Linked DNA regions of Schizosaccharomyces pombe. Changing the gene in region 2 together with the main gene of any one other region gives a genetic interaction. Each region holds a gene or a part of one and is shown on either strand. Other genes may lie near its edges.

Evidence for each region. A genetic interaction does not mean that the proteins touch.
Region 1: mutations in urk1 (region 2) and any2 together harm fitness more than expected from each alone (negative genetic interaction), as found in Schizosaccharomyces pombe (one large-scale study listed by BioGRID).

What each region holds. Positions count from the first base shown.
Region 1 is NC_003424.3:3,808,960-3,816,245, reverse strand, and holds any2 (arrestin-related substrate adaptor Any2), read right to left. Parts: upstream 3,698-7,286; 5' UTR 3,125-3,697; coding exon 1,991-3,124; 3' UTR 1,698-1,990; coding exon of another isoform or gene 1,306-1,697; 3' UTR 1,220-1,305; coding exon of another isoform or gene 853-1,219; 3' UTR 501-852; downstream 1-500. Other genes in the region: ser1 (phosphoserine aminotransferase), read right to left, coding at 1-393; SPOM_SPAC1F12.06C (DNA repair endonuclease), read left to right, coding at 853-1,219, 1,306-1,697; SPOM_SPAC1F12.04C (uncharacterized protein), read left to right, coding at 4,605-5,180; tma19 (translationally-controlled tumor protein), read left to right, coding at 6,212-6,718.
Region 2 is NC_003421.2:1,554,050-1,561,230, forward strand, and holds urk1 (uridine kinase/uracil phosphoribosyltransferase), read left to right. Parts: upstream 1-1,949; 5' UTR 1,950-2,057; intron 2,058-2,118; 5' UTR 2,119-2,395; coding exon 2,396-3,760; 3' UTR 3,761-3,864; downstream 3,865-7,181. Other genes in the region: TORC1 subunit Tco89, read right to left, coding at 1-146; serine/threonine protein kinase Ppk33, read right to left, coding at 4,175-5,191.

The DNA of each region.
Region 1 (7,286 bases), on a different chromosome or scaffold from region 2:
AACGTGGCATGGGAAGCCTAAGCGTTCAGCTTCAGCATATGCTTTTTTACTCCAGGCTCCGGTAATAATATAGTTTGCAACAAGAGATTTAGCATTGCCATTCTTGAGGGCATGGTGTGCATAAACATTATAAAGACAAGCGGCAAATTGTTCTGTACCACCGCCTTGCATAAATAAAATATGAAAGTTTTCGGGGATATTGTAAAGTTTACGAAAATTGGATTCAGCAGAAGTAACGATCCCGGAACCTTGCTTGCTGCGATGGGAAATTTCAGCGACACCCATGCCAAGGCCCTGGAAATTGACAAAGTCCTTTCCAAATTCCTCAACTACAGAGGTAATCATAGCGGCAGGACCGGCAGCAAAATTAACTACTTCCTCTCTGGATGACATTTTGTTCCGTGAGCTCAAGCAGAAGTATACTTAGAATTTAAAATAATCTGAATATCAATTTTCACAGGTATTACTCCAAAACTATTTATATGAGAGTAAAACTAATTACAATAGTAAATGTCGCCTAGAGAAATCAAAACCTGTCAACGTGATCCAATTATCAACTCCTATGATATGGGTTAAGAGGAAGTGAGTGAAGTCACTACTTCTTTTTTATACACACCGATGAGATCCCAAAAATGATAGCGTATTCGTTTACGCTTTGTCAATTTAATTCTTTTACAGTAATTTATATTTTAGATATCTCATTACATTAATTGACATTTCGCGTCTAAATCTCATATGTGGGAACTTCTACCTTTTCACTTCGTGGTTTTCGTACTCAACTCAAGCCCCAGAAAAGACCGGTTTATTTTAAATTAAAAAACACCTAAATGATTTTAAGATCAATTGTATATTATGAATAATGACAATTTGCATGATAAGTTAACGATATGGCGCCAACAGCAAATTGAACTTAAAGGGATGTTGCAGCTAATTCCCAAATTTCAAAGTTTGAATGAAATAAGATATGTTGTAGGATTGGATATCTCTTTTGATAAATCAAGTCCAAAGGCTGTCTCAGCCCTTGTTATTTATGATTTAGAACAACGTATGATTATTTATAAAGATTATTTGTGCATTGAGAAATTAGAAGAGGACTATGTTCCCGGGTTTCTTTCATTTCGAGAAATTAAATGGTATTTGCCATTGCTAAATCACATTCCTCATCAATTTCGAATTGATATCATTTTAGTAGATGGAAATGGCGTATTGCATCCTGTCGGTAAGTAAGATTCTGTAAACAATCTATTTACTTCAAGGAGACACTCTCAATGAAGGATATTATTAATTATATCTAACTCAACTTAGGATTTGGATTGGCTTGCCATTTAGGTGTGTTGTTGAATCTTCCCGTTGTTGGCGTCGCGAAAAATTACTTACATTGCGTGGGTTTGACTGAAAGCTTAGATGCACATCGTGAAACTTTAAAGAAACACGTGCTAAAGAAAACAACTGATCATCCAATATTGATTCACTCGATTGATCAATCTTCTGAGATTCTGGGCGCTGCAGTATGGACAAGCAGTAACTCGAAACGCCCAGTTTATGTTAGCATCGGTAACCAAATGAATTTAGAACAGTCTATCCAACTCGTACAGAAATGCAGTAGCTCTCATAGCAGGGTACCGGAACCGATCAGGCAAGCAGACATTTATGCCAAATTTGTCCTAAGTCAATCGAAAAGGAATAAGAAAAATTAAGCAAAATCATCTTACGAGAAACATTACTTTGTCTACTTAGATATTCTGTGAGTATTTTAATTGACGGTTTAGAATTAGATTAATCTACAGGAAAGAGAAATAAAAAAGCGGAATTTGAACAAACGTTAAGCAACCTTTAATGGAAATCCTGTTGTATCATCCAAGCTTAGTAAAGGTCAAAAAATTACCGTTCAAGTCATATAAAGATACACAAATCTTTGAAATGAAAAAACAAGCCCAATTAAAACAGAAAGATAAAAAAACAAAATTGACGGAAGAAACTAAAATTCGAATCAATCTCTTTGAACATTTGTAGGACATGAAGGTGGAGGTAGTGGAATATCAGTGGGAGAGGATCTAGCAACTTGCTCATATGCAGGAGGACTGGGTCCAACACTATTGAACATTGGGGGGCATTCCTCATCCCAACTAACACCAAGACCACCTCGTTCAGTCAAAGGTAAATTGACCTTCATCCTTAAAATTCGGGCATTCGAGTTTATGGGATGCGAGTTCATCACTTCGACGACTATAGTCTCAAGAATTAGTTGATGGGCAATATATAGAGAGAATTGTCCATCAAAGGAAACATCACAAATAGGCTTTGAAAGTAAAGATGTACTGATAGGGATCTCGAAGATAATTCTATCGCCATCTTCTTTCCAACCAGACTTATGTTCATTATTTCCCAACAGCCGAGTCTCCTTGAAAATGTATGGCTTTTTTGTCCCAGTATGGGTCGAGCAACCATTTATTTGAGCTTTTATCTGTTCTTCTATTCTCCACGAAATCTTCGTTAAGCGCCAACCAACCTTGGAGTTTTCAGGTTTTACACCGGTCAGCTGAAATTCAACAGGAACACAACTCAAAGGGTGAATTACAGGAGGCAGCTCTAAAAGAGCAATAAGCGAAGTAGGGGGGAAGAGACGCTGGGCAATTTTATCAGCATTAGTGACAATAGAGCGTTTCAAGTTTAAAGGATATTCAAAAACAAAATCGGGTTGACTGGGAATCTTAACGCGAGTTTTTAGGATGTAAGTAACGTTTATGAATGGTGAGTTGGTCGTTTGTGGAAAATGTCCAGGTATTATAAAAGTGAATGGCCAAGTATGTGTACCATGAGTATATACGGTAGGTTCTTTAGAAAACTCCCATTTCTCAAAAGCCTCAACCTGAGCTTTGCAATCGGGACAGCTGTCGCGCAAAGGACGCTTTGTGGATATTATGCGGACGAATTCCATGACAATGGATTCGCATTTGAGATCTGCAGGAAATACAGTCAACTTGGCAAGTCCAGATGCTAACGCTCCACTAGAAACATCTGGATTCCCATACATTACCAAAGGAGGAGACTCCATCTGGATGTTGAGTTCGAAAGGTTGTTCTTCTGTTGAAGCATGCTGAAATCTCCTGACTAATGAAGGCATCTTGACGGTTCAGCTAATGACTTAGGAATTAAATATTAAAAGGAAAGAGTAGGAAAAAATGAATCTAAAGAACAAAGGGGGGCCCGATCAGAAGAATTAATATGAGATTGAAATTAAACAAACAGAAAACGGCTATGAAGAGAATGAAATATATTTTTTGGTAAAAATTTTAAATTAATATATATCCTTAACAGCTTCTGAGGTTGAAAGCGACAGCACAAGAGATGAACTCAGGTTTTATGTAGAACGGAATAGGGATTATCGAATTTGGAGCTTACTCCTTAAACGTTTGATCAAAGATAAGCAATTGTGCTTCAATTTTTTTCAAATGATATAAAACAATTGAAAAAACAACTTCCTCTCAATAGTAGTTCGAAATGGAAAAAACAATTAAGTAGCGTTGAATGTGTTTTTCTATGCCAAAATATTTACTCAAATCAATATACAGGAGCCTTTTTTTAGCGTCCAAAGAAATACTTTGCTCACTGTAAGCAGAGCGTAACTATGAATACAGTGCATATAGCACCTCCCTATGAAAAATATACTAATGTAGTAAGAAGAGAAGGTTTTTGCAAAGGAAGAATAGGAAGTGTAGTCTGCATGCTCCCCAGGCCACTGAATGCGAAGGTTTTCAAAGTTTGTTATCTACAATCTTACGTAGCTGTGCGTATCTCAAGCCGACCTAAACAAATCTCGTTATTCCAAATAATATTTATTTTAAACAGTTATCATAATTCTATATGATAATAATCCATAGTAACTAAGCTGTTTTATATGTATCTGAACAAAGGAATAGAAAAAATAAACCCAGTTTCCAAGTTTTTCTTTCTTTTATCCTTGAACATATGTATGTTTAATTCTTAAGATATTGCTACCTAAGGATTTGTAATAAAAAATACGTTATGATAAATATTAAAAAAATAACACATAAATAAGCATATGCCTCTAGAAGCCTAACAAATTTATGTTTTTTATTGCTGAACTATTTTTTTAAAACACATGCAAAAAATGATTTGCCGATACTTTGAAGCCGTCACAGCTGTTTGTTGCAACTGAATACACTTTCCTCAATATCGGAGTTATTTCCGGCGATCTAATCGACGTGATAACTGGAGAAAGTTATCATATCTTATCATTTGTAATTCTAAAAGTAAAATCGATCAACTCATAAAATAACATTTCACTTTGCTGCACTGTAGATTTTTCTTATCAAATCTATTGGTGTACTAAACAGACTAGCTAACGTTTGCTGATCCGATCGACTATAGCAGCACACTCACTCTCTATACCATAAGACGTTGCCGAACCGACATCTATCGTCATTCAAATAATCTTTGGATTTGGTAATTTTAGTCGTTTACATACGCTACTTAGTATTTTTTTGGATTTTACGCTTTTCTACTAAAGTATACGAAAATTAGACTACCTTTCGTGAACAATATAATTGACCAAATCTTAGAGCTGAAATTTTTTGAGAAATATGTCTTATATGCATTCTTTAAACCTGATGCTGCAAAATCCCAGCGGAATTGACAAAATTGCTGCCATTCTTGTCAACGTTGCGAGGTTGGATCCAGCATCTTCGAAATCAACTGCTCAACTGGTTTCTATGCTAAATGAATTTCGATGTATTTTACGTCTTCCTGGTCTCTACAAATTAATCGTAAATTTTCGTAAAGATTCTTCTCCTGAAACTTACATGAGTAACGCAATCAATATTGGATACTATGTCACAGAAGGATTGGCATTCTTAGGCGGCAAACAGATTATTTCCATATCAAAACCGTTGGAAGACAAATTATGGCTTTGGTCTTCTAGATTTTGGCTTCTCGATACTTTATTGACCATTTACCAGCTTTTGCGTGAAAAAACAGAAGACGAAAAGGAGCATCAGTTAGACTTAGCTTCAAACTTGGCTAGCCTTCCTTTGTGTATTCACTGGTCTGTAGAAAATGGAGCTGGTTTACACAAACACCAAATTGGAGTTCTTGGTCTTTTCAGCGCAATTGTACAAACTAGAAAACTAATCCTCTCTTTGCACAATAAAAGAGCTTAGTTACGAATGAGCTTTTTAAATTTAAATAGAAGTTACTTTTTTCATGTAATTCTATTCGTGCTCAACTATTTTTCGTTTTCTCGAATGTCTATGTGAGTAAAGTAGTAAACAAAAGTGGTAACAGTCGTCTTGGTTTTTTCAGCAAAAATCGAAATATGCCATTCTAAATGAAGGGACTGAATCGGTTTAAAGCTTGAAAGGTTTTAGAAATGAAGTCGATTTTAATCGTTAATCCATTCCATTAAAGCGTTTTAAATTTTGGGATATTGATCGAAAATTTAATCAACGGAAAACATTAAGTTACTCTTTGTTTGTCACCAAAATGTACCTTGTCATTTTTTTCTAATTGAACTGAATATCTTTATTAACGAGTGTTTTTAATGGCCCTGCAATTTCAAATTGAGGATGTACGATATCATACTTTTAAGTATATCATATATAAACGTTAAGGAATTATTATCAACTATAATGCACTACTTTTTTAGGTTTCTTCTGAAGCTCAGTACTGTTGAGAATGTTCTAATTACGACTCAAGAATTGACGGATAATAGCTCGAATAATAAATTTGAGGCGACATAAATGGTTACAAGTTGATTAAAGAACATAGAGATTAATACACATACTGTTAAATATGGTTCAATTGTTGAATTCATTTGGACTTTAATTCCAGCTTTAATCTTAATTTTACACGCATCATAATGGTTTCACTCAAAAAATCAGATTCAGTAATATAAAACAATTTACTACTGACTGAGTACAACGATATTTTCATCTAAAAAAAAATCTGAAAATATAAAGAATATTGTTATTTAAAAGAAAGGAGAACAGACTACGACAAATTGAAAAAAATGAAGGAATTGGTAAACAAAATGTATCTATCGAAAACAACGCTGTACTACGTAAAGTGAATACTGTTCGTAACCGCATTCCATACGGATGGCTAGAATCCAGTAACCCTGCCCTAAACTGTGACTGCTTTATCTCATTAAACCTGCGAGAAGTCAAATTATGAGCTACCATCTGCAATCACCATGTTGTTGTACAAGGACGTTATTTCTGGAGACGAACTCGTTTCTGACGCCTACGACTTGAAGGAGGTAGACGATATTGTCTACGAGGCTGATTGCCAAATGGTCACTGTCAAGCAAGGTGGTGATGTTGACATTGGTGCCAACCCTTCTGCCGAGGATGCTGAGGAGAATGCTGAAGAGGGTACTGAGACTGTAAACAATCTTGTTTACTCTTTCCGTTTAAGCCCTACTTCTTTTGACAAGAAGTCCTATATGTCTTACATCAAGGGTTACATGAAGGCTATCAAGGCTCGTCTTCAAGAAAGCAACCCCGAGCGTGTTCCTGTTTTCGAGAAGAATGCCATTGGATTCGTCAAGAAGATTTTGGCTAACTTCAAGGACTACGACTTTTACATTGGTGAGAGCATGGATCCCGACGCAATGGTTGTCTTAATGAACTACCGTGAGGATGGTATTACTCCCTACATGATCTTCTTCAAGGACGGTCTTGTTTCTGAGAAGTTCTAAATGCAAATTTGGGTTCTTATAAGGGAGTTTCTAACTGGGAACATGATATCATGTCTAAATTTTATAGTTTTGTGAATTAGTTTTCACAAAATTTCATTAGGATTAGAACAGGGGTTTTTGTTCTGATAATAATTAATTATGCTAGCTTATAATCATGTTCAAATTGAAATTAGTGTTTTTTTATCGATTTTGTATTTGGTTGAATGGAAGATTGAGGTATCGATGTTTTAAAACGTGTGTGCTAAAATTCATGAATCTATTTATATATTAACAGGCCGAAATAATTTAGTAAGTAAGGATATGGTTTGAAATTTGGTATTTTACCATTAATTTAGTGTATTTTTTTGCTTTTTATCGAAGTTGATAATTCAAGTCCTTTACGAGGAATAGCCAAACTTTTGTTATGGCGACACTAGACGACCCGGTAGCCATTGAAACTTTGTTACAGTCGAAACTATAGTTTACTGTTAGTACTAAAGATTTGGGAAATTTTTGCTCGACGATGTTATTTTTGTAGCGGACGACTATTGGATTAAATTTATGCTTAATTGTTAAGCCTTTTAATCAA
Region 2 (7,181 bases):
ACTCGCACATGACCTCCACCACGCTTAAGCCTACTGTTTACAATAAAATTCCGCTTACGCTCCTTAGTAGATCTTGAGTAAACCCCTTCACCATCTGTACTTACTGTAGAAGAGGACGTTCTTCTCGACAGGGATGGACGTTCCATACTAAACGTCTAAATGAGGGTTCTTTGGGGAACTGTTTAGAAAGAAAATGAAGAAGAAACGAATACAAGCAAAACGCTTGTAAATTAACCTTTGAAATGATTAATTGAGTAAAATATGAACATGAAGAGGAATCCAATAAAAAGCTAGTCAATTCCCAATTATGACTAACAAAAACAATGGATCAATAATGTAAAAGAACGATATTAAAAAAAATATTTAATTATTAATTTTTCTCACTTGTCAATTCCTACTCCTGAAGTGAATAAATTAGCAGGTTAAGAATTCGTTCGCCAAGATAGGTGAAAGGAAAGAGAGGATGGAGGTGTGTCAATGTGAAACGAACAAAAGATGGCAAATATTATAAAACGGCTATAGCGTGATATCGTTTGTTAAAATATTAGATTTATTTCAATTCACTATTTTCTAGCTCAATAAGTGCAATTTATCATTACTAAAGGCATGGGTAATATATTACAACAAACGTTGGTAAAAGGAAGATGAGGAATTTAGTCATGTGGTACTCTTTTGTTTATTTTAAAAAGCGTTTTATTTGGTTTAAATTGCAGTTACAGTTTCAATTCTACAGCAAGTTTATGATAAAACTTTTCGAGTAAATGTGATGTGAAATTCAAGGATTTTTTTCTAATCAAATGAGGAGGGGAAGATATCTACTTTAATTTAATAAATCAATTGATTCCATTGCTATCGATACATGGATAATTAATTTGTGGGATTGAGAAGAAATTATGCGAACAAATTATCTAGGCTTAATATTCATGAGTTTCGAGTTTTAAATATGAAGTCAAAATTTGCGCAATTCGAGGTCATCAATGTCATTTTTTTGTGACGATTAGCCGTCAAATATGTTTAACATTGCACCGGCTTCAAATCTTTGCGTTTGATGCATTCACTATTCTATATTTTCACTTCTCTCGATATAGGGAAGAGAAATTTAAGGATTTTGCGTGTGCTAAGTAAGCATGTAAATGGGTTTCTATTCGAAAATGTACGCTTTTTTCAAATTTTTCTACTTTTTCACACCATTAATAGCGGATTACTCTACTTGATGGGTCAAACTGAATATCCTTTATACTATTTTCTAATTTGAAATTAATTGCCTATTACGAACAAAAGCGACGAGTTCTCAATATCATAAAACCTGCCATAAACTTATGTCCATTTACTTGGTTCTTCTGCACAAAAGAAACTTTCATATTCCTTTTTGTCAGTTCTCTTAGGTTTAAAAAAAATGGCAAAGCTACAATCTAAATCTTCGAGCGGCAAAATCATTTATTGAACTTTGAGACGATCTCAACCTAGCTGTTCTTTTTATTTCATCATTTTTGGAAGGTAAAAAATAATTTGAATCTGTTTTTCTAAGAAATGCGTATTAAGTATTAGTCGTGTTGATTTAGTTATTTATATAAACAAAGCAAGATTTCTCTTGCGTTTTTGAATTTGAGCCAATATGTTAAATTTCCTTATTGTCGCCTATTTTTATTAAATACATTTTTAAAGTTAAATTAAATATCAAATTTTGGTACAAGCTTCCAACATGTCACGAATGTTACAATTTTCACATAGTCAAAATTGATTAATTTCGAATATTAATTGCCGGATTTCTTTTAAATCTACATATAATTCATTAATTTAGTAATAGGTATTGCAAAAAAACTTCTCACTTCCGTTCTACAAACAAACTGCTCTTTCTTTATTCCCGATGATTACCGCGGCTCAGGCGCTGACTGAAAAAGTCACAGTGATAATGTTACCAAAGGATGAAAAAACAATGATATTGGATTTACCCTTCTCCAATTTATTGTTTCAACTAGTTTACTAGTTATTTAAAAAGACATTTCGAAAATCTTTCTATTTATGTTAAAATTTCCTAACATTTTTCCTTCCTTTGGGTTCGTATACATATATATATTTTTCTAATGGTATTGCTAACTCGAGATTTGTGATTTATAGAAAAAACTAAGCAAGTTTGAGAAGAGTAAGATAAGGAAACCATTATCATTCTACTTGAATTAATTCTGTTTGAATAAATATCTTTGGCTCTACAAATTGTGGAATATTTTCGTTTCACGCCAAGACAGAATTTACCTTTTAAAAAACGTTAGGTTCACCAATTAGTCTTTTTTTGCTCTACAGTTTTTTTTTTTTTAAACTTTCTTTAGTAATATTTCCTTGGAGGCTAGCATACCTTTTTTTTGGGCTTCTTATTTATTTTATTTCTTTCGTTATTATGCCTGAAGCTTTTGAGCGTTATTCAAGCAACCCAACTTATGAACCCCCATGGCGTAAAGTGCGATTTATTGGAATTGCAGGACCATCGGGTAGTGGGAAAACCTCGGTGGCCCAATTGATTGTAAAGGCGTTAAATCTTCCACATGTTGTTATTTTATCCCTTGACTCGTTTTACAAATCTTTGAATGCAGAGCAGAAGAAGAGAGCATTTAACAACGACTATGACTTTGATTCCCCCGAAGCCATTGATTGGGACTTGCTCTTCGTAAAACTGCTAGAACTTAAACAAGGCCGTAAAGTTGACATTCCTATATATAGCTTCAATGAGCATAATCGGCTTCCTGAGACCAACACGTTATTCGGAGCAAGTATCATTATTCTCGAAGGGATTTTTGCTTTATACGATGAAAAGATTCGCTCTCTCCTTGACGTCTCGGTCTTTCTAGATACAGATTCGGACGTGTGTCTCTCTCGTCGACTGAATCGCGATATCAACTATCGAGGAAGGGACATAGTTGGCGTTTTGGAACAATATAATAAATTTGTCAAGCCAAGTTATGAGAACTTCGTTAGGCGTCAACTATCTTACACTGATCTTATCGTTCCTCGTGGCCGGGACAATAAATTGGCAATTGATATGGTGATTAATTTTATTCGTAGAACACTTTCTATACAAAGTGAAACTCATGTTAAGAACATTGATAGTTTACAGCAAATTGTACCAACCATTCCCCATTTACCCTTAAATTTAGTTCAGCTTAAAATTACGCCTGAAATATCTGCCATCAGGACTATTCTTATAAACAAAAATACACACCCTGATGATTTACAATTTTTTTTGAGCAGAATTGGCACCATGTTGATGAATTTGGCAGGTGATTCGCTTGCATATGAAAAGAAAACGATTACTTTGCATAACGGAAACCAGTGGGAAGGTCTACAAATGGCAAAAGAGCTTTGTGGTGTTTCAGTTTTGCGATCCGGCGGAACTCTTGAAACAGCTTTATGTCGTCAATTTCCAACAGTGTGTTTGGGTAAGATTTTGGTGCAAATCAATAAAGTTACTCAAGAACCAACTTTACATTACCATAAATTGCCCCGTGGCATTGCTACCATGAATGTTGTTTTGATGGCTTCACATTTAACTACACATGCAGATGTCTTAATGGCCACGCAAATTTTAGTGGATTTCGGGGTCCCAGAGGAAAACATTATAATTGTGGTCTATGTTTGTTACTCTGAAAGTATTAAAGCGCTGGCTTATATTTTCCCAAAGGTTACCATTGTTACAGCATTTCTAGAAAGTGTTGCTGAACCCGTAGTCGGTAGATTGGATATCGAAAAAGTGTATTATGGATGCTGATATAACATTTATATGCGTGGATATAAAAAACAAAAGTTTAATGTCTGTTAGGAGTTTAGTGTACATTTTATTAAAGAATTCCCTTTGTTTGGATTATTACTTGCAGAAAACTACGGATAACAGGTGTTTGGTGATATAAATGTCATATTAATTAATTCGTGTAATTTCGTATCGCTCGATTAGAATAGTTCAGAAATTCAAAGTTATAAATAATGAAGTTTGAAATAGTTTAAGTGGAAACGCAGTCAAAATTTTTCCAGGGAAAATAAGAGACGAGACTATCAGGCAAGCAAAAAAAAATAGTAAAAAAATAGCAATACTATGTAACACATGAACCGAAAGACAAATCGTAGCTGAGAGAATCTTTGAATAATCATATATATTAATTAGTTTTGTAAACATTGAATCATTAGTTTAAAAAGTAGCCTCCAAATCTAAAATTGGGTCAACATATACTTTTCCAGATTTCGGACGGAAAATAGGAGTCAGGTTGCCCTTGGAAACGGTCTCCAAAGAGATAGAGCAAAAAAATGGATGTGTTTGAAGTTTCTTGCTGGAGTGACCCAACCTCTTCTTAATGTCCATTTCTAGAAAAGCCATAACAGCTGAACGAGCATCTTTCGAGATAGTAGTTAGCTTTTTATCCCGAGAAATATGAAGAGCAGAAGATAAACGATCTGCTGATGAAGCCTTTTCTTCCTCTGAAGCTCGAATCCAATTGATCAAAAGATGATTGGGAAAAGGTCGCACTTGAAAAAGGCATTCGTAAAATGTTATACCTAAGGACCACCAGTCTGATTCTTTATAAGAAACAGCGTGAATTAATGTCTCAGGAGCCATATATACAGGGGTCCCAACGCGACCAACAGTCATGTTTGATTTAGAAGGAGAAGATGAGGTATGCACTTTAGCTGCAACATTAAAGTCAGCCAACTTGCAATGTCCCTTCTCATCCAACAAAATATTATCTGGCTTTACATCGCGATGAAGCACCCCCTTTGAATGTATATAAATCAAGGCAGATACTAGTTCTACCATCCAAATACGAATGACCGATTCATTGAATTTTCTTTGGGAAATATGGTATCGGAGATCTCCACCAAGCATTAAATCAGTTACTAAGTAAATTTTCGTTTCATCCTCAAACTCAGAGTAAAACTTGCATAGTAGAGGATGGTTCAATGATTGTAATAATAGAACCTCATTTCTTAGCTTCTTGATCTTATGCTCGTCGTGTTTCTTTTTATTGATGCATTTAAGAGCAAACCTTTGCTTAGTTTGACGATGTTTCACGACGAACACTGTACTCCAGCTTCCTTTCCCAATAACATTTCGAATTTTGAACTGAGAAACACTTTCAAAATTGGTGGCATTTGGATCCTCAAAATTTTCTTTGTCGTTTTTAACACTTTTTGAGTTACTATTTCCCATGTATAAAAAACTGCGGAAAGAAAGCACAAAGGTGCAGCAATGTCTATTTGACTTTGGTGGATAGGGACGCTAGCGAACAATTAATTTACATTTAGCATTTCAAAATGAAAACTCACTTTTGACTCAAGCGCTGCGACGCCTTAATTTGAGTAAACGGTCCTGTAGTTCGATAGCTTGACTAGTGTAAAAAAAAAATAAAGAGAGAGAATTCGGTTTTTTTCTTGAAAACGAGTGTTAAAAAATTATTTATTAAATTTGGTTTTGGATAAATCAGAGAATTATGGAGTCTGTAGATTCACCATACCTGTAGTCAGGAGGTACAGAGAACAAAGAAACTTAGCAATTTATGGGTAAACAAAGAATCAGGGAGATGATGCTTCTTCAATAGAGTCGTTTAAATGCAACTTTAAAACTTATCCTTTTGATTGGATAAAATTAAAATTAGCGAAGCTTATGTTATTTCTCAAAACGACCATTGGTTGTAGATAACTCGTTAATAGTAATCTTAAATTAACCCAAGGAAGATAACCACATTTAGTTGGTGAGAGTGAAAAAGCACATTACACGTTTTCTACACTGAATTTCCTTTAAAAACAGAAATTTTCACAAATTTCCTTGTTGTTTTAACTGTTAGTATAATTTTTCTTCCATTTTGGGACAACCTACGTTAAGAGAAACTTCCTTCCCCACAGTGTACAAGAGGTGGCTGAAAACTGCAATGGAAGTACAATGCAGTACGGAGGTTTCTACATAATAAGTTCCCCTAATAAAACACCTACAAAAGAAGCATAGTGACCCTGCTTCTTTTTTCTCCTTCACCTATAATACTGTTGCTTCGTTGAGATCAGTGCTTCTCTCTACAAAAGAATTTCCAAACTTATCGTAATGCGTTGCCAGAGTTAAGGCCTATGTCCAAAGCTTTATTTTAAAATGCTGGAGAGAACAGAAAGTGGAACTTAATATGCATAGTAAATATAAGAATAACAGAAGCAGGATTTTGTAAGTCTAAAGATATTTTTAGGTTTGGATACACTCATTCCTCATAAAAGAAAAAGGAAGGAAAAGGGCGTTGTTCATTTTTTTAAAAGGAATAAAGAACCGTCAAATGATTTTACCGGTTTGTCGCATTAGCCTAATTTGGATATAATTCGAAATTGTATAAAAGGTATCCAATTTTTTCCTGCGTCTTGTAAGTCAATCTCCGATAAATAAGAGATTAATGTGAAAATAATGCCTTCATGAGAAACAACTTATTTCAACCACATCTCATTCTCAGCAATCACAGAGTTCCATTATAGACGTTGATAAAAAAAATAATATAAAGAATAAGTGCAGCAATTACTTCGTCCGGCTTCAATTTGTCCTTTTTACAAAGTCAAAGTTTTCGAATTGTCTTGAAGCAAACAACCCTACACAGATCTGTCTGTCATAGGTAACGCTTAATATCTCTTAGGAAATGAAGTATAACGACTGTGATTTCCAAGCGCTTCATCTTACCTTTTAACGAGATTGGATCAAGAGCCTTGGAATAATTTCGTTTCTCTTAAGTTTAATTCCCATCGTCCATTCGCTGCTCTTTCTGATATATGATTAACGATTTCTTTAAACATCTCGGTGAATACGAGATTTGAACTCCTTCACTATTTCCTTAGAAGCTTAAATCCTCTTTCTAAGAAGTAATTTTTGGCTGGCAACCAAGCAAGTCATGCTCTAAAGTTTTATGATCGTTCAAAAAAATAATCCAACTAACGTCTTTGGCATTTCGTCTAATCAAACCTTGGAAGTCGCTTTTCATCGACAATTTCTTAGCTTAAACTTGACAAATAGATTACATTTTTTCTACAATATTCAAGCATTTCTTTAACATTTTTTGGAACTAGTACTTTCAAGTAGGGTCCTTTACTTTTTTTTTTAAACAACGGACGAGCGCAGTTTTTGCACCCCAACAAGTAGCACTTCAATCTTAACTTACCCACAACAACACCACGCC